Xenopus tropicalis: one gene and its partner. The protein of the gene in region 1 interacts with the protein of each later gene in a biochemical or structural test. Links are inferred from orthologs where the notes say so. Each region holds a gene or a part of one and is shown on either strand. Other genes may lie near its edges.

Evidence for each region.
Region 2: the proteins of notch2 (region 1) and jag1 form a complex in vitro, tested with the Homo sapiens proteins (2 studies listed by BioGRID). The link is inferred for Xenopus tropicalis from reciprocal best matches to the Homo sapiens genes NOTCH2 and JAG1.

What each region holds. Positions count from the first base shown.
Region 1 is NC_030680.2:117,933,425-117,950,030, reverse strand, and holds the start of notch2 (neurogenic locus notch homolog protein 2), read left to right. Parts: upstream 1-7,269; 5' UTR 7,270-7,762; coding exon 7,763-7,823; intron 7,824-16,606. UniProt on the Homo sapiens protein: Functions as a receptor for membrane-bound ligands Jagged-1 (JAG1), Jagged-2 (JAG2) and Delta-1 (DLL1) to regulate cell-fate determination.
Region 2 is NC_030681.2:26,869,962-26,886,067, reverse strand, and holds the end of jag1 (protein jagged-1), read left to right. Parts: intron 1-419; coding exon 420-533; intron 534-613; coding exon 614-727; intron 728-1,991; coding exon 1,992-2,105; intron 2,106-2,687; coding exon 2,688-2,734; intron 2,735-2,904; coding exon 2,905-3,078; intron 3,079-3,516; coding exon 3,517-3,667; intron 3,668-4,972; coding exon 4,973-5,137; intron 5,138-5,620; coding exon 5,621-5,734; intron 5,735-5,994; coding exon 5,995-6,108; intron 6,109-6,197; coding exon 6,198-6,311; intron 6,312-6,845; coding exon 6,846-6,962; intron 6,963-7,352; coding exon 7,353-7,380; intron 7,381-8,097; coding exon 8,098-8,183; intron 8,184-8,615; coding exon 8,616-8,729; intron 8,730-8,837; coding exon 8,838-8,947; intron 8,948-9,286; coding exon 9,287-9,520; intron 9,521-10,530; coding exon 10,531-10,662; intron 10,663-10,971; coding exon 10,972-11,122; intron 11,123-12,757; coding exon 12,758-13,215; 3' UTR 13,216-15,516; downstream 15,517-16,106. UniProt on the Homo sapiens protein: Ligand for multiple Notch receptors and involved in the mediation of Notch signaling. May be involved in cell-fate decisions during hematopoiesis. Seems to be involved in early and late stages of mammalian cardiovascular development.

The DNA of each region.
Region 1 (16,606 bases):
AAACCGTTATTGCTCTTTTCTGCATTTAATGGACAAGGGGCGCGTGTCCCTACACGTTACTCCTTCTCTATCTCTCCTAACATCAGTCCCTGAGCTTCGTCTTCCCCTGTTACTAGAGATACTTTCAGCATTTTAGAACATCCGTAGCACAAAGAATTTCTTCTTTCTTGGAACACCTGGGGCATCTTTTACTTCCATATCTTCCTTTGACTTGTCTCCACAGCCTGCCACGACTTGCACGCAGATTCCTTGCACCTATTCAGCACTACCTCTGCAGGGAGTACACACCTTCCAAAAATCTGCCACCTCGGGGCTCTGTACCAATCTGTCTCCTTTTACTCAAGATGTCTGAGGACCCAAGCCACTGAAAGTTGGAGGATCTGGAAGAAAACAGAAGAGGGAAATTGCATAATTATGGCTTTAATGAGCCTGATATTAATATCCAGGAGACTGGCTGCAGAAATTGGCTCCAGTTTTCATCCCTGCCCTTGCCCATGGTCTGTGTGCCATGGCGGTTCATGGAGAGTTCACAGTACTTGCCGTTATATGTATAATAGTAGTGGTGCTGTTTGTTTGCAGTCTCTGTTTAACCATTTCACACCCAGACATACAGACCATGAACGCTTCTGCATTTATGCTTATTTATTTGTAAAACAAAATTTCCCCAAAAAAGGAAAATTAATCTGCTTACAAACTCTAGGCCTTTTATCAAGTCCCATATCCCCTATACTATAGGAAGCCCCCAGCCTAGACATAATATATATCTGTTAATACTTGTGAGCATGCAGTGTCAGACTGTACTTCCCAACACAAATAACAGAAGAAATCCTTTATCCAGAAACTCTTTATCCAAGAAGCTCCAAATTATGGGAAGACCATTTCCCATGGACTTCATTTTAATCAAATAATTAAATTTTTAAAAGATATTACTTTTTCCTTTATTGTAATAAAACAGCACCTTGTACTTAAATATAATTAATCCTTATTGGAGGCAAAACAATCCTAGTTATTTTAAACTTAAATTTTATTTCAGACTTTAAGTATGGTGGTCCAAATTACAGATCTCTTATCCAGAAAACCCCATGTGAGCATTCAGGTCTCATACCTGTACTATAAAACATGATGGAAGAAATACAGTTCATCCAAGCAGAAAATGCAGAATTATATTGTAGTTTTCAATAATCTGTTTATTTATGCTATATTGGTAAATATTATGGTGCAGTTCCAGAATCTAACTGCTGCTTTCTTATTAAAGTAATCTCCTTAATTTATAATACATTTGTATTTATACCAACTTAAACTTTTGACACATTTGTTTTTATACCTGCTTTAACTTACAATACATTTGTATTTATACCTGCTTAAACTTATGACCCATTTCCTTTGATTTACTTTTACATTTTGTTTCACCCTGCTACATTGCACGAGGTAATATAAACAGACGCATGCCTATAAAGATCTGTAGATCGTTCCTGGCAGGACTGTAGCCTTTGGGTGTGGTTGAACTGAGTGTCCTTTGCCAAGCGTGCTTCAGAGGCATGCAGACTGGTCATACTGATTAATGACTAGTTCTTTTCAGATGGCTGGCATTCACACAATGAGTAGTAGTTCAAAATGGTGTGAACTATGACTGCCAACCCATTTCTTTATTGATCCCTTAATGCAGATAGGATATCCTAGAGACCCCTAGAAGGCTGAAATAATGGCCTCCTCTTTATATTGCATATGGGCAGGTGAAGTCCAACCAAATCACTTCCTCTTTAAGCCACCATTTTTCTCCATAGCTTGGCATTAGCTTTAGCCAGTAATATCACCTATATTTATACCCATATATTGATGCTATCTAATTATTTATATCCATATATTGATGTTATCTAAGTGTCCACAGCATTATGCAAATTAGCAGACATTCCTGTTAGGCTAATGCCACACAAGCTAAATCTCAGTCTGCGGATAAACACAGGCCAAGAATCAGCTCCAACGCTGGACATGTGCCTGCACCCTGAGCCATTGCATTGGCCTTGGTGCCGGCACATGGAGTGGGTTTTGGAGCCCAAATGCATACCTCTCCGTGTGACTTCATGCAGGCCAAGGTATTGGCTCCAGGTGCAGACACAGGGAAAGGCTGATTCCAGTGTAGGAGCTGATAATCAGCCCCCTGTGGCATAAGCCTTATTGTCACTGCTTTATCCACTTGATTAAAAGTGAGTGCCATATTGTATGATGCTTTGCTTCCAGTTTAAAGGATCAAATAAAATCATTTCATTACTAAATCCTAAATTGTCTAGGAGGTGTACCAAATTCCCAAAATACAAAGTGTTTTATTAGACCTAGCTTTAGCCCTATAACCCATCACCAGCCTTATCACCAATAAGTCATAAATGTTGCATTAGGTTACTTGACCTGGCGCAAATTTTGCTTTCTTTATTACATTACCCCTGACAGAGACAGGTGGTCCCATGGCAAAGATCCCATTGGGGGTCCCCTGAAGCAAGGGCAGCCATCTGGGTATATGATATGGGCCCCAAAGAACAGAGTCTTGAATTGTTTAGTATGGCACAAGGGGCCTAATTATTACACTTGTACATATACAAACTGAAAAAGAGATTCAGATTCATACCATCCATACACCATACTACCATACTCCATACTATCACACTCATTTTAATGCTTAAGCTAAAGAGCGCTGTATATACTGGGCCTATCTCCTAGTACCTTTTTTTGTTATACTAACTTTGTTATTTTATATAGTTTGTACTATTTCCGTCCCAGAAGCCAACACCATGATTTTATTCTTTGTAGTAGAGAGAATCTCACATTGTTCATAACAATTTTTTTTACAAGAGACCATTATTCATTTGGTTCATCCATGCAATGTCATGTGTGCATTTTCTAGGACTAAGAATGTATTAACTGTACCTTGCCTTCCGGCACTGTGAGCTGAAGGGGAGCACAAAGCATTTTCCTTTCCCTGAAAACTCTGCTAACTGGAGGGCAGTGTTTTGGTTGGATTAGGGTCATAACCAAATGTATTTTGTTATAGGGACAGGGTAAAAGTAGCCTGCATCTTGTTTATGGAAAACTATAGGGGTCATTTACAACCCAGGGTGGCATAAGAGCACAACGCTTAGTGCCCATTTAAGAGCACTTATGCCCCCAGGGTTGTTCCTCTCAGCACAAAGTGGGCAAACAGTGGGCAAAATACAAAAAAATTGATGATTGTGGCCTTTTTTTTTTGCAAATTATGAACGTCCCCTTGTTTTTTTTTGTGCTATCAAATAATTTACCATTGTTCTCTGCCCCTCTGTGTCGCTGAATTTAAAGTTAAAGTCAGTAAACTAGCAACCAAAAACTGAATTAATGGTGAGGATAAATGTATCGCCAGATCTAGTAACCCATAGCAAACAAGAGTCAGCTGTCTGAAAGCAAACATCTGATTGATTGTTATGGGTTGAGTAATCCTAGTGCCAGTTTTATTACATTACTCAAAAGTCTATATATGCCATGCTGCTGCAAAAGGTTCCATGGTTTAAACACCAGCAGCTAAGTCCCCCAGGACTATGTAAGATCCCCTTGTCGCCCAGCTTCATGCAGACAAAGTAAACCTAAAACATGAACTCATTCACAAGCCAGAAGTCTTAATAATTTTTTTGGGCTCCTACGTTTGGGGTTTTGACATTTGATCCCTGCCCCTTAGCTCTTAATAAGATAACAAATTTATGGAAACAAGGTCAGAAAAGCCATTCTATACTTCTGGGGATATACAAGAAAGTAAATAAATAGTAAATCAGACTTTCAGACTGGGCCTCCTACAGAGTTTCTACCACTTTCATTCATGGACAATACTCCCCATCAACTGCAACCGAACACTCATCGGATTTGTACAACAGAGGTAACACTGGTAATTGAAAATAAATGAACTCAACTGACAAAGCTGCCCTTAATAAACCTGAAGGAGCTCTAAAACATATTCCTCATAAAATATGTTAACTTAACGCCACTGCCTTGCAGCACCTGGTACTGAGTTCTATTCCAGCCCCAGTATATGGGTCAGCGGAAGTGTGGACATCACATCAAATATAAATAGCACTGCCTTGCGGTGTGGTTCTGTGACTCCCAGAACCTTGCTAAGCCTTGCTGTCTCTGTTTTACTGGTTTTGACTCTAACCTTTTGACTTTGCCTCTACCTGACCCCTTTATACCACGTTCTTTCGATCAACCTTGGCCTTGGGTGTCGGAACCTTGATAAAGGTCCCCCAATGGGACCAAAAAGTTGGAATTTGCAGCACGATGGTGAAAAATATAATCCCTATTTACAGAATGTGGAGTGCTGGTCTTCTATTCTCCTATATATATATATATATATAACTTTGCAAAAATCGGCACTCACCAATCCAGAGGCAATGGCTGGGTGCTAACCCAAATGACTCCTGATGACGATCCTGAGTGGATTGAAATGCGTAGATAGTATGCTTAAATAAATAACTGATTTTTTGGACACTAAAGCCGTGAGTGCTTTATATTTGTGCTGGATATATATATATATATTTAGATAGATATTTTGTGTATATATATATATATATTTATACAGTATATATGCTTACTGGGCAGTGCAGTGGAAATAATGTCACTTTTAGGGTGAATTAATAAAAGTTTTCAACAGGCCTAGTGATTTATAGCAACTAATTAAATGTTTGATTTCACAAAAGTGACCCTTACATTCTGCTGCTAAATTGCTATGGGGTTGTAGACTTGATATAAGGACTGCATCACCCCCCCCCCCCCCCCCCCCCCGACAATGCATTAATGATATCCTGCTTAAATCAGGATTTTGCTTTAAGGCTGTAGAGTAAATGAAATACGCCCATGCTAAGAAAACAGCTATAGGAAGGAGATGTAGCCTGACACCTCACTGTATCCGTTTTTCATCACCATTAGGATTTAATATAATGCCGGCCAGACACACAAATACTAATTCCCATTTGCCTGGCCGGCATTACCTTAATCCTCATCTTTCATGAATCCTTTTAGTTCTGTCTCTAATTCACCTAAAATTAGCAGGGCTTCCCTTGCTATGAACTGACTGCTTGCAACATTAGTGTTCTTCTTAGAAGTCTGTTTGTACTTCTGTACAGAAAGAAGCAGTAACAAAAACAAACCATCCAACAGAAGCAGGGAGCACATAACCAGAGGGTGTTGCAGGCTGGAGGACATAATCACGTGTGGTGTGCTTCTGAATATGCTTATATATTAGCACATGAGAGAATATGAGACAGTCTTTAGATCTGGCCTGTAAAAGACAGTTGATTAATGGCCCCATTCTGTCCAGCTGCTCCGCAGATGTTTATGACATAATAATGCCAATTAGGATTTGAATATGATGCATCATGATGATGAGAAAAAAAAAATATTTGACAAGAAAAGTAATTGCTGATCGCTGAATTATTTGTGTTTGTGTGCAACCTGCTATTGTTGTGTTGTCCTAGTCACCAACTTATGGTCTGCTAATAGGTTACAATAGACCCCCTGGGCACCACTGGCATGGTTTTGCCTGGGTATCTACCTATCACTTATGAAAAGGCCCTAGACATCAGCCATGGGTCTGTGTGGCGGAACTGCCTTAGGTGCATATACTAAACTGAGTTTAATAGTATCCAGTCTAGCCATCCACTCTATATAAGTTTTGTATGACTTCATCTATTTAATGGGCTCCAGCCTGTGAACATGTGGGTATTACAAATAATCAGCAGAAGAAAATGAAAAAACCAAATATACAAGGGAAATCTGTGCTAGCTTAATCTCTGGGCCTAACTATTGTTTATATGCCTTCAGGATACAAATAATCCCAGCGAGGTATGTGGTGGTTTTGGGGGTGCATGACACATAGGGTTACCCCTCTGGCTACTATGTTATATAAGAGTCACATTTGGTTGAATTCCAGCACATTTTTCTTGTTCATGAGAATCTACTATGCAGAATTATGTATTTGCTGCGTCCCTGGTAAAAACAATCCTTTTGGGTTCTACACTTAAATGTCCCACAGGGAGATTAGTCGCTGCAATTTTTAAAAAGCAAGTTCCAGGGACAAGTTGCTCATCTTGCCCCGCGACAAATCTTTATTACCGCAGGCAACTAATCTCGCAATTACATCCCACCGGCAACAATGTAAATTGCCAGTGGGATGGAGTATGCGTTGCTACGATTTCCCAAAGAGAAGAGATTTCAACAAGGGATCAATTCTATTTCCCTCAAGTCGGTGCTTCATAATTGCCAGTGTTTCCAATGGGGAAATTTGCAAACAATCGCAGCGACTTCCCGCCCAATGGGTTTTCCTTTGAGTGATTCCATTAGTTTTAAATGGCAATGCTTTCTTTGTAACATCGCTCAAAAAAGGCTCTCATAGTGATTCGGAGCGATATGTGATTTGGAAGCAGTATCGTCAGTTCAGGTACTGGAGATTCATATTGTTTATTGTTCTTTATTGAGAGACAAAACAAGACACACTGAGCTACTAGTAGTAGCTACTTTTTCACAGCTACTAAACTCCAGAATATACCCTGCCATAGACAATAATGTGAATTGCCACTGCTAAAACACAAATAGAGGCAATTACCAGTAAATGATCAGCATTGTCTATTTTGGTAGCAACAACAAGTAGCTACTACTAGTAGCTCAGTGTATCATCACCCTTAGCCTTAGGGCTCTGGCACATGGGGAGATTAGTCATCCGCGACAAATCTCCCCGAGTTGCCATCACCTGCCATCCCACCGGCGAAAGTGTAAGTCGCCGGTGGGATGGCACACGTGGCGGCACGATTTCGGGAAATCGACGAACAAGCCTCGCGAGGCAACTTCGGCGATTTGCCGAAATCGCGCCACCGCGTGTGCCATCCCACTGGTGAGATTAGTCGCCCGCGAACAGGGAGTTTTGTCGCGGGCGACTAATCTCCCCGTGTGCCAGAGCCCTAAAAGTATTGTTGGTGAGTGTGAGTTCTGAACACTGTTAATTATATATAGATATCTCTAGACATCTGGTCATTCCTAGAATGGATTTTGACTGGTTTTCCCTATTACTAGTCAGATTAGGCAGTCTGGTTGTGGGGCAAAGCCATTAGCTTGCCAGTGCAATCTGTCTGTATGAGTTAGAAGTGTATGAAATGCGCCTGAGAAGTTGCAGCAGCAGCAGCAGCAGCAGGAAAGAGTCTGCACATCTGCCTCCTCCCGTGGGCCCGCCCCTCGCTCCTCCCCCTCCCCCTCAGCCCTGAGCGAGTAAAGTTCAGCTCAGTCCCAGCGCTGCTCTGGCTCTGCTGCTGCTGCTGTTCTGCCTGTGCCCATTATAGCCTGTGGATTATTATACTACCCGTGGGCGATCTCCTGCGTCTCCGACTAGCAGCTGCTGCGGCACGGAAGCGCTCTGGATAGGCGACTTTTTATGGGACAAAACTTCTGAGGGCGCCCAAGTTTCATCTTCTTCTTCTTGAGAAGGGAGGGGGCAGAGAAGGCAGCGCAGCCTGCTGTAGCCAGAAGCGCACTGAGCGGCTCAGGGGGTTTGGGGAGAGCGGCGGAGGCTTCTCATTGCACTGACCTTGCTGGGAGCATCCTGGACCTACTGGAATTACTGATGATCGCAGCGGCGGCCGAGTACCAGTGAGCCGCAAGTCTAATGGCTCCTATGGGCAAAGCATTCTGAGATCGGATTGGGGATTTTGTTGGAATTTCTAACCCCGTTGGCTGCTGGTTCCTATGCGGATCTGGAGAGGAGATGGGGGCGCAGTATGTGCTGGGGCTGTGTGTCCTGCTGCTGGGGATGCCGGGCTGTGACGGTGAGTCAGTAGTGGGTGCCCGGGGGCTTGTGGCCAATACCTGGCTCTTACGGGATGGGGCAGCCTGTCAGCACTAGTACGGTAGGCACTCAGGGCTCTGTGGCTACTGGCCAGTGTCTAGCTAAGTACATAGCAGCTTTACAGCTTGCTGTTAGGGACTCCCCGGGCAGCAGTGCCACATGCCCAAGGGTCGGGGACACGTGTGCCAGTGAGTCGGTGAGTCGGAGCCTAGAGATGAGAGGAATCTGTGTGGGCCATGTATTTCCCTATAGTTACACCGACCGTCCCTCCATTCTGTCCGCTCCTGTATACTATGCGCTCTGCTTGGCTCTACAACCTTATAAACTACAACTCCCAGAATTCTCTGAAATCTTGAATTTGAGCTCGCAACTTCAATTACTTTATGCGCAGAATAGTTATGTCCCGCCTGTATCCTTGTAGGAGCGAACTACAACTCCCAGCATCCTCAGACTGTGACCTGAAGGTCAGTAAACAGCGAGAGGGTGACTGGCTGATGGTTCTAATGTTAGAAATGGGAAATATGTGTATTTTTTAGTTAAAAAAGAGCTGTTCTGGTGGATTGTAAACTCTTGGGACTGAGCATTCAGGGATTAATAAGGTTCTTTTTGTAATTTGTTCACAAGAGGCTATTTTGCCGCTGTCTGGCATCCTCATATGTACCATGGTAGCCTGAAGGATCCTTTGGGGTATCTCTACTGTGCAGTCTAGCTGGGGGGTTCCTTAGTTTGTATCTGTTGATATGTGGCCCCCCAGCTGTTTTAATATGCAATCGACAGCATCCCTGACAATTCAGTTAGAACCGGCTGGAGGGCCACAGGAACATTGCCAATCATTGTGTTGTTCTTATGGAAGCTCTGATAGGGCTGTGTGGATTTTGGACTGGCACCCTGGCAACCTCTGTGGAATTTAGTCTGGACAAGGAAAAGCTGCAGTGGTTGTTGCTAGTTGCAGAGATCGCAAGGCAGTATCAGAGTTACAACAGGCCAACTTGTGGCCTTATAGATGTTTGTGAACTAAAACCCTCAGACCCCCCTGTCAGCCCTTGGCTGTTGATGAGATGTTGGGGATTGTAGACCAGTAACATCTGGAGTACCAGCACTGGTATAACTAATCAGGAATGCTTCCCTGCAGAGCTAGATTTATTTATGTGTGACTACCGACAGGCACCCGTCCCTACAAACACTGCACTGAGACGTGTGTAATTTAGGGTCATCAATCAGAGGGGAAATGTCGCCTGTCAAAATGACACCAAATAAGTCTGCTTAATGTTAAAGGGATTGAAAAGCACAGATCCTGGCTTGGCCACTAGATTTTTATCTGTACTAGTCACAGACTGGGGGAAGTTTCCAGGTGAGTGTGCCTTTGTCATGGGCTGCAGAAATTGTTGACTTTGTATTAATACAATGTATCCATACAGAAGGAAATTAGAAGGCTGTAGGAAAAATAATGTTATCAAATATCCATATATTTCATAAAGCCTTTAGTTACAAAGAGCTGGCAGGGGAAAGAGAGGATGCTATAGCCAGTCAGAAGTGATATTATGGCTTGATTAGAAATACGTCCCAATATTATTATTAATAAGCATTCTGGGAATTGTAGTTTAGTAACAATTGGAGCACCAAAGAGGCAGATTGCAAGGGTAGAAGTGATATTAAATATTGCCATGGGAATCCCACATATGGGACTAAATATTCAGTCTAATGGCTCTCCCAAGAAACAGTATTGCTGCAACCTCTATACCCCCCATTACTACTGTGCTACCACCATTGCTTTTTGGCACTTTATCATGTAGTTATTTGTTTGAACAAGACTCAGGTATTGGATGTCTGAATCTCTAAACGCTGAGTCCCCTTGCATGGTTATTTGCAGCATATGAATAAATATGAATAATTAGAGGAGGAAGAGGAAGAGGCACAGACCAGATGAGAAGAAGAATGACACATTTCCAGTAAACGAGATACAGTGCCGAGCTGTGAATTGTATTCTTGTTCTCGTTACCGAGGCATAGGCAATGAAAGGAAGACGCAGTTTTATTTTCTTTCTGACCGCTGCCATTTCATCAGAACTCTTGCCTTTAATGTAAGGGCCGAGAAACAGACAGGGCTGTCAAAAAGTGCCTTCTTGGGTGGGACATTTGGGGGAAGACAAAGGAGCCATTTTCTGTGCGTTTGCACAATGTGGAGTTTGTATGATGGGCTGTAGTTCCTCTTTGAGCAGTTTCGTGTTTATGCGTTCTGCTCAGGAATGTTTGCTTCTACTACTTTACGGCCTAATGGCTTTCATGGCTGCAGTCAGTGTGCCAGCCAATTGGATTGTTCCCTCCAAAAGTTGAATATTTATAACATGAATTATATAAAAGTGCTATGGAAACTAAAAGTAACAACTTAAACATTAGGCTTCCACAAACATCTAATGCTACTGGGTACTCTGGGAGTTGGGGTTCAATAACAGCTATGCACATGGAAATACATTAGTATCATTCATTTTTTGGGTGCAATATAAAATTCTGCCCGTTTCTGTGGTCCTTCGTTGAATAGGAGGCATCCTGATAACCTTTGGCTATGTCCAAGAGACAGCCATAGGAGAACTATACTTGCCAGCATCCTATGACAATTTTTGCCATTCTGGAACCTGCACCCCCAAGTCCAAGTGAAGTCCCACAGGCCTGATTAATTTGGGAGCAATTTTTGTTTAACAAGCAGTTTGAGACAACGCTGAATATTAGCAGTAGGAGACGTGGGTTCACAGGGTGCAGTTATTGCATCCGGAGCACAATGACCAAGAAAAACAAATTACTCGCTGATGGACAAAGTTATGCTGAAGGAAGGATTTCCTTAATAAGCGTGGATAAGGTGCAGTTTCCTACACACATAGCACTATTTGCACCCTGTATAATACTTTCCATCATGCAGAAAGATAAGAGGCAATAACATCTCTTCTTACTGGAAATGTATATGCTGTATAAGGAAAATGTCATGATATATTTCCACAATGGCACTACTACAGTGGTTTCACATAACCCTAATGGGGTTTGCACATGAGCAGCAACCCATAGCAACCAATCAGCAGGAAGCATTTACTGGTACCCTAATTAAAAACAAACATCTTATTGGTTGATGTGCATTAAAAAATTGCTTAGATATTGCTTAGAAATTTTATTATGAAAAAAAAGGTTTTTTGGCTGAAAAAATGAATCTTTCAGAATGCATGTGTTTCTGAAAGATTTTTTTGAGCAAATAAGGTATTAAAATTGTGTTTTGGAACAGAAGCCCACATTGGCTATTTGTTAGCTCCATGTGGACTGCCAGCCTGCCAAAGTCTGGGGATAAACACAGGGGGCCAATCTGCCTCTACACTCGTGCCTGCACCTGGAGCCACTGTGTTGGCACATAGAGTGGACTTAGTGGCAAAAAAGTTTCCACAACTAAATCCACTCCGTGTGCTTGCACCCAGGCCGATGCAGTGGCTCCAGAAAGCAGTTAGGGATGTAGGGGCACATTCTCTGCCTGTGTGAATCTGCCTGGTGTGGCACTAACCTTATGCCTCCAAAACATGCTTCCACACAAGGGGCAGCAATGCTCAAATTTGAATTTTTGGTTCGATTTTTTTGAGCTAAAACACATGAATTCAAGCTGATTATAACTTTCATTTGAATTGAAATTAAAACTCTAAAATTCACAAATTTGAATAAGCCTCTATATATAGGATCGACTGCAGTATTAAAGTGTGGCAATCAACATGTCCCTTGTGAGCCACCGGTTGGGATCACTGCTCTACATCCTACAGAGACTTAAGAAAAAAAGAATCAAAATGGAACTAGACATGCACTGAATCAGTCATTTATTTGGATTCATGGCGGCAAAAGATTTGCACAAATAACCATTTGCTTTTTTAAATTTGCAAAAAAAAGATTCCATCAACAAAAACTTCTTGCATTCAGTTCCAGATATTTCAATTCACATGATTAAAAGGTTCAGATATCCTTTGTCTGAACAACTCTGAATCCTGCTAAATATGCTAGGATTGAGCTAAATCCTAGATTGGGCACATACCTAAATGGATGACTGCACCTTTAAACATAATTCCTTGGAAACTTTTTGCATATGTTGACCCCATTGTTTCTAGGTATTCATAAAAAATGAGGAGTTTCTGGTCACCATGTTGCAACTTACCTTGGAATATAAGCCTATTTTTTTGTTATGCCTATAAACAGCATTTCAGAATATGTTTGAGATTTAGAAATAAAATCTAATACATTTGCCTTGTAGGACATGTTTAGAATAAGAATATGGCAGAGTATTGAACCATCTAGGGCTCATTTATTAACAGGTGGCAAGCTGCAGTAACCCATAACAACCAATTGGCAGTTTGCTTGTAACAGAGTAGCAGTATGACAAAATTAGATTTTGGACTGGTTGCTATGGGGTATTACAGCAAGCCATATTTGCCCTGCTTTAGTAAATAAGCCCTTAAGTGTCTCTCTCAACAAGTCTGATACAAGCTTTACTTTTACTAGAAGTATCATTGTACTGTAGTGAAAAGATCCAGAACATGTGTGAACTAAATGTTGGGATGAGGGTGGATTTTCTTGGCTCAGCACTTGTCACTGCTACATTCATGGAACATCAACTAAATGAGTTTCCTTGGTGGCTAACAGAACTGAGCTTTCTCGGGAGCGTGTCTCTCTCTATCCCCAGAGGGCTGCACACAGCAAACTGTTTTTTTGATGTCTGGGCTCATGTTGAAATAAAGAATAATTAGTAGCTTTTGGTAGGTGCAGCCAGAATATTTTTGTAATAAGATCAGTCTAATACAAATTTGGGTTTGGGATGTGGGACACATACAAAAAGTCATTAGAACAAATGTATGCAGAACAAATGCATCCCTTAAATTCTCCAGTACAGAGATTATTATACGCTTTCCAGTGATCTCCTGACTGCTGGCAAAGGTCAGAATCCAATATGTCTGTCTCTCGGAAGCTTTTGTGCAGTCGTCCGCTTATAAGTGCTGCTTTGATAGATAGTTTTTGGGGTTGAGAGTCTGTGTTGACAGTTACATGAACAGAAAGGTAGAAAGGTCTAGATAACTAAAAGAACTTGGATATGTTGAGGCTTAATCAGCACAAATATATTTATATATAGTATATTGACTAGCAGTATAGTATAATTAGATTTTGGACTGGTAGCTATGGGGTATTACAATAAGCCATATTTGCCCTGCTATATATATATAAGAACACAAAATTGTGTAACCCCTCTTGTAAAATTTGACAAAAGGGTGTAAATTATTTGCTGTATATAGTTTGTATCCATGTGTTGGGATGGCATACACTGCTTATGTCTCTATAGATGTCAATGAATAGTGCCCTTAGTGGATAATATGTAATGAGCCTTTATGTAGGAATAAGCTCATATGGCTAATGCATCCGACATGCTTTTGTGTATTGGGGTGGTTCTCCGTATTAGTGCCATATTTTAAGTCTACAAGACAAGGCAAACATTAATCCCTGTGAGCTATCATGTCATGTAATAAAGTGTCATTACTTGCTGGTTAAGAAAAAAAAGACTGAATAAATTCCATCACATGACAGACTTAAGAAGGCTTTACTCTCAAAGCAACGAGGATTGAGTTAAGCTGTTTAGAGGGGGTTTGATAGTCGGCAAAGTTCTCATAAGAAGTGAACTATAAACTGGATTTCTCTCAACAGTAGAATAATGAAATGGTGTAATGCTTGGCCGGGGCAGGGTAGGATATAGTGAGTCATACTGAGAAACAGGCTCTTAGAAAATATTCTTTAAAGGGAAACTTAAGGGAAAAATAATTTCATCCCACAAGACAAACCAGTGCTATAATATGGTAATTTTGCCTCATTTGCTTTCCTGAAGGGGGTCATTTTTTACCCTTTTGCACTATATTACATGTGTATGGTAGAGTAGAGCCATTCTATTGAAACATTTTGATTCCATTTCTAGAAAGTACTTGATGGTAATTACTGTGCAGCCACATGGCACTGACAAGCCAGCAGCCTTCTGGTGGAAACCTGTGCCCGCCTGGCCAATCAGTGGATAGCCATTTGGAAGACAAGGGCAAGCATGTCTAAATTGAATTTGTTTTATCCCATATTGATTGATTTTGAATTCAAAACTGACCAATTTGTCCAACAACATTGAACAGGTTATGGCCATGAATCAAGGGAGGTACTTGGAGATGAAGTACTGGCAAACTGGCAAATAATAGGTTTTTAATGTCTGTACAGGTATGGGATCTGTTATCCGGAAACCCCTTATCCAGAAAGTAACAGAAAAGCCATCTCCCATAGACTCATATAAGCAATTCTAAATTATCACATTTTTTTCTGTAAAAATAAAACAATACCTTTTACTTGATCCCAACTAAGCTGTAATTAATCCTTATTGGAGGCAATAATGTATATAATGTATAAATGATTTTTCTGGAACCTGGAGAACAGGTCCCATACCTGTACAGAAGCACGATGAGTAACAGGAGGTTATTATGTTTTAGCCCTCTTTGTAACGGCTGTTGGGGATGGACCCCGGGGCAGTCCCATGCTAATCCCCTTCTCTGCGTCACTACAAGCAGAGATTTTTCTCTAAGGAATGACAGTAATTTTTAAGACAAATATTTTGTTAAACTGTTCAACTGAATTTGCAAACAAATGACGAGTATAACATAAAGCAAACTTTGCTTTTGAATGAAATTGTGCGGCGGAATTTCTAGATTGAAATCTGCTGGTATCGTTGATTTTGGAAGACTTGATAGCTGAGAGGTTATTGATTAAAGGGATAACTCAAGGGAATTCTCTCAACACCATTGTAATGTTCAGTTGACTTATAAGGTTAGATAATAACATATTGAGCTCTTTATATAAACTCTCAGCCCATAGCTTTCAAGGGTCCCTAAAGTCGAGACTTTCTTTCTTTATGCACCTAATAAAACATGGTGACTCCTTTAGAGGGAAGGGGCATCTGCATACTTTCTTTGAAGCCCTTGGCAAATCATTGATGTTAAATTAGAATGTATTGTAAGGGTGCTTTCCCACTTTTCTGCTATAATGTAATGCACTGTTGCATAGGAGATACTGATGTTTGGGTTGTTTAGATTTAGGATCCATCTCGGTTAGAACATATACAAACAGTAAAGTCATCCGAACAAATGTATGTAATGATTAGCTGAAAATTCCTTAAATTCTCTAGAGCAAGGCTCATTATTCATTTCCCAGTGATCTCCCAGATGCTTTCACATTTCAACATGGCTGCCTCTAGAAGGTTCTGTGCTACTATAATTAGTAATCTGAGGGTCACTTGAGGTTTTATTATCAACTGATGGCTGCAGGATTTCATATAGGCCTTGTAAACCATCAATTAGATATTATATAAATGTGCCTGCCATAATCTCCTGGCAATTTCACTTTGGTTCGAGTGAGATCTGAATATCCCAGCGTTATGTGGGTTGTGTGGTGAAAGTCATATGTGAAGTGCGTCAGACTTTGTGGCTTTGTAAATTTCACTCTTTTGAGTCATTTTCTCTATGGTTTCCGAAGCTTTATCATTTCCTAGTTAATCAAGTCATCTCCAGCTTCTGTCGATCTGTATCACGTGACTTCCTTGGTTGTGATCACATCCGCACATTGGGTAATTGGCTTTTTATGTCAACACCTACCAATAGTGCAAGAACGCTATATAACGAGATCTTAAGTAAATGGAACCTTGTCAAGATGAGCTGTTATTTGATTGACAGGCTAGCTGCTTGTTCCTTTGGGTGTTTTTAATATTCTCACAAGAGAAAGCTATACACAAGGGATACGGGAGGCTACAGGCTTTAACAAGTTATAGTGTATGCTTAAACCCCATAAGGGGGGATAGTAAGGGCTATATTCAAGTGTTATCTGCCAGGAATTTGTATGTTCTCCCTGTGCTTGCATGTGTTTTCTTCAACACCACAAACACCTACCTGCAGCCTTATTAGTTCATGATAAAAATGACCATAGTGTGTGTTAACACAGACCTTTCTGTCCTCTCTGTCCCTTACACCTGTGTTATAGCTCAATGCTGTATTCAGCAGTGTCAATCAAAAGAAATAGGCCTGTAGGGGTTTGTGTGCTGGGCCACTGCAGCCAAGAGTAAAAGAGAGATTGGTACTCGGCCGTGTTGCAAAATAAATCTATTAGTTCAAAGATCACCTTTTTTTTATGTTAAAGTCTGTTCACTGCAAACCTTTGGCGCCCAGTGGGTTAGCTGTACTCTATACATGGGCAATTTCTGTACTACTGTCAAATAAATATATAGCAATGCTGAGTATTTGTGGGCAAAAGTAATATCAAAAAGTGGCAAATGTAAGTGAAATGCAGCAGAAATGATTTATTTTTGAATGTTGTGTTGACTGTATTGTTGTTACTGTAGTGATTTATTAGTGATGCCTTTATGGCTGACTGTAAAAATTAGGGTAGAAGTTAGAGGATTAAAGTCCTTCTTTGGAACCTAGGCAGCTCTGAGGGCAGGTCTGATTTATCACTGTTATGGGAAGGGACTTCATCTATAGTTTGTCATATGTAGGATTAGGATTTGGTGTCAGTAACACTGTGTACTAGGACTATCCATTGTGGACTCTGTTCTAGCACCCACAGACAGATGAAGGCAACATATGGATACGGGGAGGAATAGCTCAGAAATGGCTGGAGAGCAGCTGCTTGAATAACAAATAATGGGGGCCTGCAGATAGTATTTTGCAACAGCCACCATTAA
Region 2 (16,106 bases), on another chromosome or scaffold:
ATCCCTGTAGATCTGCACATTTCCTTTGACCCATGAGTGCAGTGTTGTAACTCAATCCAGCATAAAACCAGTTAAAGTTCTCATTTATCTCCTCCCCCCTCCCCTTACAGTAAAGGCTATGGGAATCTGCTGGTCCTGGCTGAGACTCAAGTTGGTCTAAGCTATGGCACATTGATCAGGTCAGCTTAGCATGAAAGATTATTTCCTCCTTGTTTGAAGTTCTGTTAAAGCAAGAACTGTTAATAAGAATAAGATATCGAAGAATTAGTGCTGGTCACATCTTCCAGGGCAAGGTGGTCTAGTTACTGAGTAGAAGCAGCAGTAAAAGAATTTTTCCCCCCCCTCCCCGTCGTCCCTTTTTGTTAGCGACATTCCTGAACGTTGAATAATTAAAAGTTATTTGTTTTTGTTTAATTCAGCTGAACATGCCTGCCTTTCTGATCCCTGCCACAATGGGGGAAGTTGCTTAGAAACATCTGTGGGCTTTGAATGTCAATGTGCTCGAGGCTGGACGGGCCCCACATGCAGCATCAGTACGTATTGCTTCATGGGAACGCTGGCGGCTGTCTCCCACCAGTACCAGTCTCTTCTAACCTAGACCTTCTCTTTTTAGATATTGACGAATGTTCTCCCAATCCGTGTGGCTACGGCGGTACCTGTCAGGACTTGGTCGATGGCTTTAAATGCATTTGTCCTTCTCAGTGGACGGGCAAAACGTGCCAAATTGGTAATTTTTTTTAATCCAATCAGCAGTGCTATAACCCACAATGCCTTCTGTTATCTAATCCAAAATGTGTAGATTTTGGATGTGGTGCTTCAAATTACTCCGCAACAAACACAGAGGTTGACTCTTACAGTGCCGAGCTCCACGAATCCAGTAAAATTGATACTTATATTTGTTAATGTATGTCTCTGCTCCATGAAATTTGATACAGCATAGGGATTAGTTATATTTAATAAAGGAGAAATCTATATCTGCCTAGTTACTCGCTACAAGGAAAATAAAGCTTTAAATAGTTGCCGTAAGGAGAAGAAAAAAATAGAAGCATAAATGTGTAGAATTTTCTAAAGGCCCTTCTTACCAATCTTTTGTGATTTCTGTTTAGAAAAAAGATTTTGCTGTCAGGAGGCCTCTGGCACTTAGAGGATTAGATTAACAGCTAAACCATAAACAAACTAGTATATGAGAAACACTTAAACTTAATCAGGCTCTGGAAAAGCATTCCACCATGAGCCTATGTTCTCCTCGGCTTGGTCCTGTGGGAAAATCGCTGTATCTTTTCAGCCGTGTCAACTCCCACAGACCGAGCAGTTTACAGCTGGGTTCCGAAATGTAGATGATCTCATGAAGAATGAGCTGTCTGCATTCTTTATGGAGCGCTCTAATCTGGCTGACAATAGCAGAGGAAGTTCTCCACTGAAATGGTCAATTGCCTCTTACTGTTCTTAATGAGTGGGTGACCAGCTACTAGTAAATGAAATAGGAGGTCTGTATTAGCATCACTGCTGGGTTACTTGTAATGGAGTGGGGGGGGGCATAGTAAAATAATAAAAGGCCCACCCAGTGTTATTGACGTAGCACTGGCTAATAATTATTGCTGGTCAAACTTGTAACACTCTTATTGACCTCTGCAACCTTATAAGTCGTGGTGGTAAAATATAACACGGTTCCCCCCATAAGGGTAAAAGATTAACAGCCCCACAAGTAAAAAGTTACTAGTCTCTTCACGGTTAATTTGTAACCAGTCCCAGGGCATCCAGTACTGGTGGGACAAACATGGCTGTCTGGCTTTCCATGAAGCCTGGAAATGACAATGTCTAGGATTTTAGCAACAATATAGTTTGGATATGGGACCCCAATGCTTGGTGTGTGCATTTATATATAGCATATTCTGTATAAACTGGGTAGCCACAAAGAACTAAATACCATATGCACATTTACATTTGGACCCTTTCAAATTTCTATAAAAATTTGTTTCATTTTTTTTAAGATGCCAATGAGTGTGAAGCCAAACCTTGCGTAAATGCCAACTCCTGCAGAAACCTGATTGGTAGCTACTATTGCAATTGCCTTCCTGGATGGACGGGTCAGAATTGTGACATAAGTAAGTCCTCTTTACTTCTTTTCTGCAATTTCCTGTTCCATTTGTTGGTTTTTAAGGAATGTTCAGCCTTTATACATATATTTTTTTAGTAGGCATAGATTGGGGAATGACTCAGCCAAGCAAATAGTACGGCAATGGGCGTTTATTGCATACATGCTGGGAAGGAACGTCCGGTGCACACAATGCACTGCACCCTCACACTTTAAATTTAAGAAAAATAAACACTATTTATAAACTAGTTATAATTTCTCCCCCCAAAAAGTGGGGTGTTGTCTGTTTGGAAAGACGATATAATGCTTTATCGCTTGTCCTATGGTCCTATTCTGATAACAAAAATAAAACAATGCTGTGAAGTTGAGGCAAGAGCACTGGAGAAAAGCTTAGGCTTCCCACCCATTCTAACAACGTTATCTCAAGGAAAGGATGCAGGAAACGTAACAAAAGCTCTATCTGTACCCAGCCATTCTGATTAAAATTCTTTCAGCATCACTCAAGTGCAGAATGCATTTCACTGTGCAGCCTCTCGCCTTCCTTGACATCTATATTTATATGCTTTCGTTTCTTTCTTCCTCCCTCGTTTAGATATTAATGATTGCCTTGGCCAGTGTCAAAACGGCGGAACCTGCAGGGTAAGTTTTTTGTTTTCTGACCACTTCTAATCACCCGGCGGGAGTGTGATGTACAGCTGTGACATGGTTTTGTGCTGCTGTCCGGACTGTCCTTCTCCAGCACAATGCTTATTGTTGTTGGTGTCTCTGAAAGCCATGTTTTGTGATTGTTTCCTACTTTGTCATTACAGGACTTGGTTAATGGGTTTCGCTGTATCTGTCCACCCGGCTATGCAGGGGAACGCTGTGAGAAAGATGTCAATGAATGTGTGAGCAATCCCTGCCTGAATGGGGGCCACTGTCAGGATGAAATCAATGGATTCCAATGCCTGTGTCCCGCTGGTTTCTCGGGAAACCTCTGTCAGGTGAGTCCGGCTAAAATGGCAACCCCCCAGATAACATGGCTCATGTCTAGCAAGGGCCCCTCCTTCTTACTGCTAATGATTTGTACACTAAATACCTTATGTTCAGCGAGCCTTGCTATAAAGTCATACCCCATACAGCTGTCTGCCAATAATGTGTTTTTTGGGAGGGGGTAGGAGAAATCGGATCTATTCAGTTAAACAGATCACAAATGTTTGCGTGTTCACTTTTCTTGTACGCTCGCTGTTGGCTCTTGTAGCTGTTTTATATCCTCAATCCACTTGGATCCAGGCTAAGGACACTGTACATTCTGCTTTAAGTAAAATTAATGGAGGCAGCTAGATGGAAAGGTCAGATTCCACAGTGTCTGCTCTCTTAAGCACTGAATAGGGTAATAATAAAACCTTTGTTTCCTTCTGCTTCCCCTTCAACATTTACAGTTGGACATAGATTACTGTGAGCCGGACCCTTGCCAGAATGGAGCCCAGTGCTTTAATTTGGCTACCGATTACTTCTGCAACTGCTCAGAAGACTACGAGGGCAAGAATTGTTCCCACTTAAAGGATCATTGCCGCACTACCCCATGTGAAGGTGCGTACACCCCGCTTTGTTTGTCTCGAAAACAGAAACTTTCACTGCTGAGTAAGGCAGTCATCATGCAAAGTGATTGGGAACCACACACTGCGATAATAAAATCCAGCTGTGCCGTGCCCTTCACCATTAACATTCAGCAAGGCAGGGACTGTTGTTAGAGTAAGGGACCACAGGTCAAGCTATTGATTGGATGCATTTAACCCCTTCCTTCTGTTCGTCTGCATGGCAGCAGCCTTCACTTCACTTTTACATTATCTATAAAAAAGAAAATTCGAACCAACCATGTTTCTGCCCTTTAAACGCAGACATAAGGATGTATTTTTTCCTTCTGATGCTCCTAGTTCTGCCAGTGTCCAGGTGGTTACGTTAAACGGGTGCTTTATTAAAAAAAAAAAAAAAGCGAGAAATTGCTTTAATTCTCCGGCTCTTAACTGCCAATTTTATGACAGGGGGATTGAATTACGATCCCGCCGAGTTGTCTTTGCATCAGTGTCACATTTCTGAGATAGGAAGTAGGTTTGTCAGGCAAACAAATGAATATTGTTAGTTCCCAGAACAGGCAGAGAGATCAAGTAAGATATTAAAGGCAAAGTGTACTCTCTATATAAGCACAGGGATTATCTGTCAACAAACGGGCAGTCTATGGTGAAGTTTATTCCATGTGCAGCATATTCCTCCTTTTTGAAAATTTACATTTTTACTTATGAGTTGGGGCTGTGACATATTAAGCAACATCTAGTGGTCCTGTTTTTATTGTCAGTCCAAGCAAAAGGTATGGCAGCTCCCTCTGATAACTTCCCTGCACATTCATGTTGCTTTATGTCCACTATACCCTCATAAAGTGTAGGACATTCAAAAGTAGGGACCTGGTATCTATTACACTTCAGGGCCCTGGTGAATGTGCCACTACTACTGCAGTAAGTTTTGTCAACAGTATTTCATAGCTCTGTGACACACACAGCAGTGTTTAAAAAAACAGTGTCAAAATACCCATAACAGCCCACAATTGTTGCCTTTGCATATCACTTGCAAGGCAAGAATAGCCATTCTAAAGTGCAAGCCTAGCATAGTGTTAGCCTTGCAAACTCATTTGCCATAAAACCACTGCTGAATAGAGGACTGCAGCTCTGATTGTAGAAGTCTCGTGTGGGTAAACAGAGCTAAACACTCTTGGCTGTGTCCCAGCTGTAAGCTTGGCCGAAGCTGAGTAGGTTACCTGATCCCAGTGCCATCTCATAGAAGCATCAGCCTGCAGCGCTTATCTTTTTCTTACTGATGGGCCTTTGCCTTGTTTTCCTCCAGTGATTGACAGCTGTACAGTGGCCGTCGCTTCCAACAGCACCCCAGAAGGCGTACGGTACATTTCCTCGAATGTCTGTGGCCCCCATGGAAAATGTAGGAGTCAATCCGGAGGAAAATTCACCTGCGAGTGCAACAAGGGCTTCACTGGCACTTACTGTCATGAAAGTAAGAATCAGAGCTGCATTATTAGAAACCATTGGAATTCCATGAGCCGTACCAGCTTTTCTCTGCTTTGGGCTTTCCTGCTGGGATGGGGCTAAAATGCAATATTTAATTTAATTACCTACACACACAGGACTGGAATTTATATTGGCCAAGACTGAGACTTAAGGTGGTCATACACTGTAAGATCCGCTTTTTTGGTAACCTGTTCTCCAGATATGCCCACCTAAGTTGGGCAATAATGGGTGCCAAATGATCAAATTAAAATGGTGGCTTTATGAACCGTCTGACTGAGGGCTGCCAATCAGTCTGAAGGATCTGAATCAGGATCTGAAGTCTAGCTGTCTATGGCCACCTTTAGTCAAACTAAATATGCATCTTGATGAATGAACATACATAGACCTGGCTGCAGAACCAAGCACACAGTCATTCAATTAACAAGCACTTAGTACAAGCACTTATACAAGGTTTTGTTCTCCATTGCAGATATTAACGACTGTGAAAGCAACCCATGTAAAAATGGAGGTACCTGCATTGATGGCGTGAACTCATACAAATGTATTTGTAGCGACGGATGGGAAGGAATTTACTGCGAAACAAGTGAGTCCTTTTTCTCCCTTTGTGAGCAAGAACGGAGCTTGTACCCTTAAATGTAGTGTTAAGAATGAGACATGTTATTGGCATGTAAACACCCTAGAGTCCCCAAATGTTGCTGGGCTACAACCCAATGTTTTCACTGAGTGTTCTGACTTCAGTAAGTAATTGATAAAGCCCCTATGGGTAACCCAGAACTCACACCTCATCTGTTCCTTGCCAGCATTTCTATCTCACCGTGTAATGTTCTGTTTATTTTCTTTCAGACATTAATGACTGCAGTAAAAACCCTTGCTACAATGGAGGGACTTGTCGGGACTTGGTTAATGATTTCTACTGCGAATGCAAGAATGGCTGGAAAGGAAAAACCTGCCACTCCCGTAAGTGTGGATTTCTTATCTGCTGTTTATAGTGTGATATTTTATGTTGAAATGTCTGATATTCATCGGAGAGGTATTTTTCTTTTCAGGAGACAGTCAGTGCGATGAAGCCACGTGCAACAACGGTGGGACCTGCTATGATGAGGGAGATACCTTTAAATGTATTTGCCCTGCTGGATGGGAAGGAGCGACATGTAATATTGGTAAGAACTGATTATTCTAGTTTGTAACCAGTCTATTGGCCTTTATTATATAGGAAATATAATTGGGTATTATTAAAGAAATTGTAAATGAAAAGGTTGCTGAGGAGTAACATGAGCATATAAAGGAACCAAGCTCTGAGTGACTTCTAATATGTTATCATATATTGTTATATATAAAGTGCCTGGTATAAAGGTCATGGCCCTGTGGCTGCTGGGAGATATAGTACACAGCAGCTAGAGGGATTCAGGCATGACCTGTGCAGCCAATCAGCAGCTTGCTTTCACGATTAATTGCAGGTTAAATAATGACAGCCAAGTTACTGAGAGTTCCATATTATAATATATGAGACAGTTCGGGGTTTTTTTTTTTTTATAACTGGGCCTCGGTTTGGGCTCTATGTTTATTTACCTACGACCGCAGGCACAGGGCAGAAATGATATATGTATAAAGGGGGGAAAACATCCTGCTTTCTTTCATTGCTTGGCTTTTCTCTGCTCGGCTTTCATGCTTGTTTTGCAATGTATTCCTCCTAGCAAGGAACAGCAGCTGTTTGCCAAATCCCTGCTTTAACGGTGGAACTTGCGTCGTCCGTGGGGACTCTTTCACTTGTGTTTGCAAAGAAGGCTGGGAAGGACCAACATGCTCCCAGAGTAAGTTTGCTTTAAGTTTCCCTCGGAAATAGGTAGTGCACTTAACCCCCTCCTGCCTCGTATCGATACCTTAACCTGAAACTGGGAGACAATAGGGGTGCACGTCAGCATCACCTGGAGCCCTTTCTTCTCTCTATAAATAACAATATGGAACAGAGGGTTTGACCTGGGCATGGGAAAGTTGCAAATGAAGTAACTGGAGACAGATGTTGTCCTGTGTTTTCCTACATTCTTTAAGGCAACAACTTGCCTGCTTTCACTCACTGTCTGCCGGAGAATGGAACAATCCTTTCTGGGGGGAATGAGGGGGATTAAGCTGAATTTAATAACAGAATGAAGTATTTTCTTCCTGCAGAAAGTCACCTAAATTGTATTTCTTTTCTATTCTAGATACTAATGATTGCAGCCCTCACCCATGGTAAGTAGAACTGGACAAATTAACTGTCAGCCTCGTACCAGGCTGCTTTCTAGATCAGACACCCCAGCTCACCTATAGCGACAATGCATGGCTCAAGCACTTTGTTAGGCTGGGAATCAAAACTCCAAGGCGCTTAAGTAATGTAGATCCTAATTGTAGCTCTAATATGAGACTTTAAGAAGCAGAGCAGTTTAGACACATTTTCTAAACAGATGACATGGGAACGGGTCAGACTTGCTTTATTCGGCTCTTAAGTGTTTCCACCTGCTTTACAAATTACCCATAAGCCACCGCTCACTGATAGGCTTATGAGTAAATGATCCTATCCCTAGGAATATCTGCTCCAGTGGGGAGTGGATTTTGTTTAATAGCCAGGAAATGGTTCTCCTGTGACTACAATTTATAATATGACATAAGAATGAAGTGCAAAAGCCATTGCCCCCAAGCATTCCATTAATTAACAAGCACAGACCCTCTTACATACACACACAGTGTGTGTTCACCTTAATGTGCTAACAGAATATAAATGATAGTATATGATATCCTGTAAAGCTGTTCAGTCTATGTGAAACTACAACTTTCATCTTGGCTTTGCTGGGAGTTGTGGGCCAGCAGCTGGAGGGCAGCAGATTAGACATGTCAGCTGTATTGTGGTGCAATGAGGCCTTGCCTTATAGGATAAAAGTCTAATACCTCCCCTTCCTTTCACTTCCGTAGCTATAACAGTGGGACATGCGTTGATGGAGACAACTGGTACCGATGTGAATGTGCTCCTGGATTTGCTGGTCCCGACTGTCGGATAAGTAAGTATCCTAATAAAAGGCTTGGGCAGATTGCCCTTTGTTTTGAAACTTCCTTTAACCTTCATGGGGCCTTGAGTCAAAGGAAACGTCTTAACTAAATGAATTTAAATAGTTGCTAACAGGCAGAAAAAGTTATTAATAAACAGTAATAAAGTGGTTTGCAGCATATAACTTATAGCAACCTCTGCTTAAAAAACAGGTAATCTGTAAATGATGCCTTCTCATTGGTTGTGGGTTATAAAAACCTGTTGCTAACCATGCAACTTTTATTTTAGCTATTTATTACAACTCGGAAATCTCCTTTCTGAATAGGGAAGGTTCTCATATTTCCCCTTTGCAAACTTCTGATACAGCCAATAAGCCGTAAGGATATTTTAGGCACTTTTCATTAGTTAAACAGGTTTCTATAATGATTATTTTGTTTGTTTATAGATATCAATGAGTGCCAATCTTCACCCTGTGCTTTTGGAGCTACTTGCATAGATGAAATCAATGGCTACCGTTGTACCTGCCCGCCTGGCCGTAGTGGTCCAAGGTGCCAAGAAGGTAATGAAAAACAATGTGTTTCTCCCCCTCTCTGCTACCAAATAACCAGTTTGTGCCCTGCTCTGGTAATGATGGTATTGCCATATACTAACACGACCATTTGTGCAGTTACAGGAAGGCCTTGTATAACTAATGGCCATATGATGCCAGACGGGGCCAAATGGGATGATGACTGCAACTCCTGCCAGTGTCTGAACGGCAAAGTGACATGCTCAAAGGTACGTGAGTGTTCCCTAATGTATTTGCCTTTGTCTTGCTGCTTACAGATATAAGAGCAGGGGTCATGTGTAAAAGCCCTTTATCCCCAAACCTAACAATACTGATTTAGGAATTAATTTTCTGCATATATTATATCTAAAATAAATCCAATAAAACAACCACAAATACTGTGCATGATTTAGTGATCGTAGTTCCATGGTAGGAATATCTGGGCCATAATGTATGTATACTGATTAGCAGTAAGTACTCTGTGAAGCAATTATGCTCTGCCTTGTAAATGTCTGTATCCATCAATCAAAGCTTAGAGTGTTAAACTCCTGTGTTATGTCTATATCTAGGTGTGGTGTGGCCCTCAGCGTTGTGATATACACGGCAGCAGCGAATGCCCTGCTGGGCAGACTTGTGTTCCAATAAGAGACAACCATTGCTTTGTTCCCCCTTGCACTGGGGTGGGTGAATGCTGGCCGACCAATCAGCCGCCTGTCAAGACTAAGTGTAACGCTAATGCCAGCTATCAGGATGCCAGCTGTGCCAACATCACCTTTACATTTAATAAGGAGATGATGTCACCGGTAAGTCAAACTATCAAAAGCAATGATTTGAATGTTTTATCTGTTATTGTTGTTGCCAAAGCTGAGAGGCATCAGTTGGAGGGAAAAACTCCAGCTTGCAGTTCCCAGCAGCTACTTGACCCATTCAGTATGAAACCACACATCCACGAACAATGCAAATAGATCATGTGTTGCGGCGAATCATGGGGCAGGTTACAAACAACATCCATCCCAGTCCCTGGTTGGCTCTTAGCTGAGAATCACATCACGCAGTCATTTGCCCTTCTGACTGCTGTAGAAACAATGCTGCCAGACAAAACTCCTGGAATGCTTTTAAAGCCGTGTCTATGGGAAAACCAGGGTTTAATAGTCACAAGCATATTCCTTAACGGCTTTAGGGAAGATATTCGCCAATACATTATTTTTTCCCATAGACAATGCTCAGAGGAAATTCCAGCCGTTGTGTCTAGCGACACAGTCCTTTGAATAATGCTCGGCTGTAATTCTGAAGGCTTTTTTATTGTTTCTCATGGGTTGCTGGGAAGGGAATAGGCCCATGTTTTGCCCTTTCCCTTATTCAGGCTCTCATTTTCCCTTTGTCACCTAAACCACTACATATTGGCTGAGTATTTGGCTTATTAAAGGCAAACTCTACCTATGTATGTAACAGTCTGGCACTGTATGAACATTGGCTCCTTTGGCAACCTCAGTATTTTCCTGGTTTAGCCAGCAATGTGATGATCCCAAATTGGTCCCATGAACCACAACTGGATTATGAGGGTTAGGGTGACCCTTCAGTAGCGGACTGTACCAATGTTTCAAGGCAGGTGACTTTTTTTGGACAGATATCAGTCAGACGTTCCATTGCAGGGGCAACATACAAGGGCCAATAAGCTAGAGACTTAGTCTGGAGGGGCCGAGTCAACATCTTTTATTATGGGAATGGCATATCCTTCCAATGCTATTCTGTTCTGCAGAATGATCCTGTTTATCCAGTTAAGTGATGGCTTTATTGTGTTTTGCATTATCAGGGACTCACTACCGAGAGCATTTGCAATGAACTGAGGAATCTCAACATTTTGAAGAATGTTTCCGCTGAATATTCCATCTACATTACCTGTGAACTTTCTCCATCAGCAAACAACGAGATCCATGTGGCTATAGTGAGTAACGTTCATGGAACATATCCTGCATTAAATATAGCTGCAGCAGAGTCACTAAGCAAACAGCTTCTGCTGCACAGTGCTGGCCAGAGTTAGTGCTCGGGCTGCTTCTCTCCCAGCCTATAGAGCTGAAATCCTGCAAGATAACTACAATTTTCCTTGAGCTATAAATGTGCATGATCAGCCATCATGAGACACTCGACATATACAGCAGTAGCATAGCTTTGTTATGCTCCAGGCTAAATGCAGCAATAGGAAGGGATATCCATCAGGCCTGGGTTGTTAATATATCTTTTCTTTGGTTTTTAGTCTGTGGAGGAAAATGGAGACGGCAGGAATCCAGTTAAAGACATCACCGAACGAATCATTGATCTTGTTAGCAAGCGAGATGCCAACAACACTTTCATTGCTTCAGTGGCAGAAGTTCGAGTCCAGAGGCGACAAGCCAAAAACGGCACAGGTGAGTTGCAATGAATGTATATTTAAGTTAACATCATTAGGGTTATGTAATAAAAGGCACTAAGTTTGCCCCATAGTAACCCATAGCAACTAATCAGCAGGTAGCATTTACTTGTCACCTGTTACAAAACTTACCCTTTCATAGAACCCCTATATAAAAACAATGCACATACGAGGCAAGTGTCTGTAGATTCTAGGTCACTGGCCAGCTGTTTCTGATGCTTAGTAGATGTGGAAATCCTCTAATTGCTGCAATAGTTACTTAGAAATGGCACGGTGGTGCTACAAAACAGTTTAGAAGGGAATTTTCATTTCATGAGAAGCCAGTTAATAATAATATAGGGTAGATCCATGGACCAACTGTGGCCCTTTGTTGTATTTTTTATGCCCCCACCAGGGTACTTAAATATCTGGTCCTGGAACATTGATGATATATTGGATGATCTCCCAACCACTTGCACAATATGGCTGTGCATCCTAGGCCAAACCCAAGCATAACTCACCTGGTGGTTGGCCAATAGCAGTGTTTCCACCCATTACACTTGTAGCCTATTGCAAGCAGAGTTTATACCTCGGAATATCCAGTTAGCGAATAATAAAACAGTAAAGAAATAATCCCTGAGGGTTTCCAGTTTCATGGCCTTTATTTATCCAGCAGAAATCTTCTGCTTAACGTCATTCCTTAGGCCGTGCAACTTTCATTCATTGAGGAGATTGTGAGGAATGTCTTTCGCACCTACCCTGTAGGTTTATGGCACATACTCTAACTATGGGAATAGATTGAGACAAATCTGCATCCAAGGTCAGCAGGAGGGGAATATTCCAGCCTTCTAGGTAGCATTGCAGCTGAATGGCTAAATAGTAAAGGCTTTACCAGACTCCCCAAAGAGGCTGTCAGCATCCATAAAGGGGTTGTTCACCTTCACATTAACTTTTAGTATATTTTAGAACGACCTGTTCATGGCAACTTTTCAGTTGGTCTTCCTTTTTTATTATTTTATAGTTTACAGCTATCAAATGAGGGTCACTGACCCAAGCAACCATGAAACCGATGCTCTGCGAGGCTACAATTTTATTTTATTTCTCTTTCAAACCACTACCTGGTTGTTATGTTAAATTGGACCCTAGCAACCAAATATCTGCTGAAATTCCAAACTGGAGAGCAGCTGAACCAAAAGCTCATTCATTTTTAAAATTACAATAAAAAAAAAAAAAAGTTGAAATCTCAGATTAGCACTCTACATCAGTGATCCCCAACCAGTGACTGAGGGGCAACATATTGCTCACCAACCCCTTGGATGTTGCTCTCAGTGCCCCCAAACCAGGTAATTATTTTTGAATTCCTGACTTGGGGGCAAGTTTTGGTTGAATAAAAACAAGATTTCCTACCAAATAAAGCCCCTGTAAGCTGATAGAGGTGCATAGAGGCTGCCTAATAGCCAATCACAGCCCTTATTTGGCTCCTCCATGAACTTTTATAGTGCTTGTGTTGCTCCCCAAGTCTTTTTACATTTGACTGTGGCTCATGAGTAAGAAAGGTTGGGGACCCCTGCTTTACATCATTATAAAAGGTTAACTACCCATTTAATCTGCAGTGATTTCATCAGCATTAACATTTTTTCCCGATCTCTCGTAGATTTCCTGGTTCCATTATTGAGCTCCATTCTAACCGTGGCCTGGGTCTGCTGCCTGGTGACCGCTTTCTACTGGTGCATTCGGAAGCGCAGAAAGCAAAGCAGCCATTCTCACACGGCGTCGGAAGACAATACCACCAACAACGTGCGGGAGCAGCTCAACCAGATCAAGAACCCCATCGAGAAACACGGGGCCAACACTGTGCCGATCAAAGACTACGAAAACAAAAACTCCAAAATTGCAAAAATAAGGACACACAATTCAGAGGTGGAGGAGGACGACATGGACAAGCACCAGCAAAAGCCCCGATACGTCAAGCAGCCGGCGTACACGCTGGTCGACAGAGACGAAAAGCCGCCCAACAGCACTCCTAGCAAACAGCCAAACTGGACAAATAAACAAGACAACAGAGACTTAGAAACAGCACAGAGCCTAAATCGGATGGAATACATCGTATAGCAGAATGTAGCGCTGCCATGCAGAGCTTGTGACTGCTCCCGAGGGCTTAGCTTCACTAGTTCTTAAACTGTTGTGTAATATTTGAGTCTAAGGCTATTATTTACTTAGAATCCCTATGTTAATTTAAGTTTTGACAAGCTGGCTTACACTGGCAATGATAGTTGCTGTGGTTGGCTGGAATACCAAGTGCTGCATTTCACATCTATGCAAAACTAGTCCAAAAGTGCCCTGATGTCAATTCAGCTGCAGCCGGAACGCCGCGAAAACGCTAAAAGCCTTCGGCGTTCGGCTCCTATCTCTCCGTTCAGTTCTTCTCCTTCCCCATAGCAACGCCATCTTAGAATCATCACTTTTTTTAATTTATATTTATTTTAGATGTAGCTTTTTGTTTTTTAAACATTCGTACATTCGGTTTTTATGGTGACGTAGAACTAGTTCTGTATTTGAAAGTGCCTTTGCAGCTCAGAACCACAGCAACTATCACAAATTTAAGTTTATTATTTATTTTTTTATTGTTATTGTGTCAGGGGGGGAGGGGCGGGTGGGACTGTCAGCTGATGCTGGTCAAATGAAGAAATTTCAATCTTTTTTTTTTTTTCCCTTTTTTTTGTATAGACCTGTAAATATTTTTTTTTATTAATCACTGTGTATATTTGATTTATTAACTTAATAATCAAGAGCCTTAAATATCATTCCTTTTTATTTATATGTACATGTTTAGAATTGACTGGTTTTTTGATAGCTTTGTAAGCTTCCGGCTTTTTTTTTTTTCCCCCAGAACTTATTTCTTGTTCCGTGTTACGTATATGCCAAAATTTAAGGTGTTTTTTTTTTAAAAAAATAGTTTATTTTTTAACAATAGGACGGGCTGACACGCCTCGATGCTGTTTTTGTACAATGTTAAAGAACACCTTTATATAGTATCACTTAAACTATTTTTTTGTAAGTTCCGACTCAAACTGTTTTTTTTTTCGAGAGTTCGACTTTAGAACAATATTTGCTGCTTTCGGCTTTGATATAAAAACAAAAAACAAAAAAAAAGGACAAAACAGAGCGACTGGCAGATATTCTGCTGCAACGCGGTGCGAGGGAACGGACGCGGCGGTGCATGTAAGGAGACAACGACAATGGAAATCAAATTGGCGGAAGTGGAGGCGCAGTAATCTCGTTTTTTTTTTGTTTGTAAATTCTTTTTCCACAATGAAAATGTAACTACAGAACCACTTGTAGATATGATTTTGTTCTTTTTTTTTTATAATCTACTGAAACTAGGGGAGTATTCTGTTAAGCTAGAGGTTGAATACTTGAACAGTAGAATGTCGAGTGATCACTGTTGCTTTCCTATACGTTACACTGCCTGCCTTAACTTCAATAGAAAGAAAATCTATGACCAAAAACAATAAAAGTTTGTGATATTAAAAAAAAAAAAAGCCAAGTTTATTTTGCCTATAATCATTATGTTTGTCCCAGTGGAGTCTTTATTTTTGGGGGAGGGACTTTGAGTACAAGTGGAGCCCATTATTCCCACCATAAGCTTATTTAACCTCCTATAGCATCTGTCTAATTGTTATAAGAGTGGTTCCTGGGATGCCCGACACTACTATAGACCCATAACATGATATTGCTGACGGTCACAGTGAAAAGAAAAGATATGATTCAGATTGGCAGCTGTAAATCTGGAATGAAAGTGTGTGCACTTATGGATAATGGTGGCTGTAGTAAATCAATAGTAGGGCAGGCATTTAGGCATTGCCTAATATTGGCATACGTTATGAACAACAAAGTTTTCCTATGGCATTAGGAATCATGCTTTAATATAAATATAAATCATTTTTTCCCCAGAAATCTCCATATAACGATTGACTGAATTACAAACCATTAAAGAAAGATAAGAACAAAAACCACTAGTTGTAAACTGAATAGATATTCCTTTTGGCACCGTCTGTATTAGGATTTGTGACTCCCCAGGGCTGATATAATGGCTATAGGCTTAAAGCAATTGGTCAGTGAGTGCTCATAGATTCTCTTCTGTAACATCTGCAGTAGTGACGGAGCGTACAAGGTGTTGCAGCGCAATGCCGTGACTACCCCTCTGCTACAGTAGGTGTTCTTAGCGCTACCGCTATATTGATGTATGCAACAAAAACTGAATCTAGTTATCACAACAGTTAGCAATGGAGGTCCTGAATAAACCATGTTTTTTTTGTGACATTAGTGTTATGAACCTTAAATGCATCTTTGATGTGTTGGCAATAAATTCTGAAAAGTAAATATTTATTAAATTTTTTTTTTGTATGAAAATTTGGAAGTGTGCCTTTCATTTTCCCCCCTCAGGGTCACTAAACACTCGGGCCTCCGTTCATATGATTGGGGCTCATTTGACTGATGTGAGTGTGTCAGACTATGAATGGGAATATTATTCATGGGTGGACAGGTCGGAGCTATGGCTCGCTATAAATTACATTCCTGCCTATATTGGCGCACCTGGATGATCCATGAGATTTCTTTAATATTTTGGAATAGTTAAACAGCTCAGTCATTTTAACTGAAAGGGGATCTCTACCCTAAATATAACTGTTATTGACTTTATGTCTCTCCATATCTTTTTTTTCTGCACCGCTGCTTCCAATTCCTGTTGATGAATAGACCTGACCAAACAAGGTTCCAACTAAATCAGAATTTTTGGATGGTAATGTAATAGAAAGTCATTTCTGCCAGGTTTAGTAACCCATTGTAATCCGATATTTGCTTCCAAACAGGTGACCAGTAATGCTATCTGCTGATTGGTTGTTGCAAGTTACAATTACTTGTGCAACACTTTATACTTACCCTCCCTGGACTGATGACTTGCCCTTCTGACTCTTGAACTTCTGCTTCCTATTATATTGGTC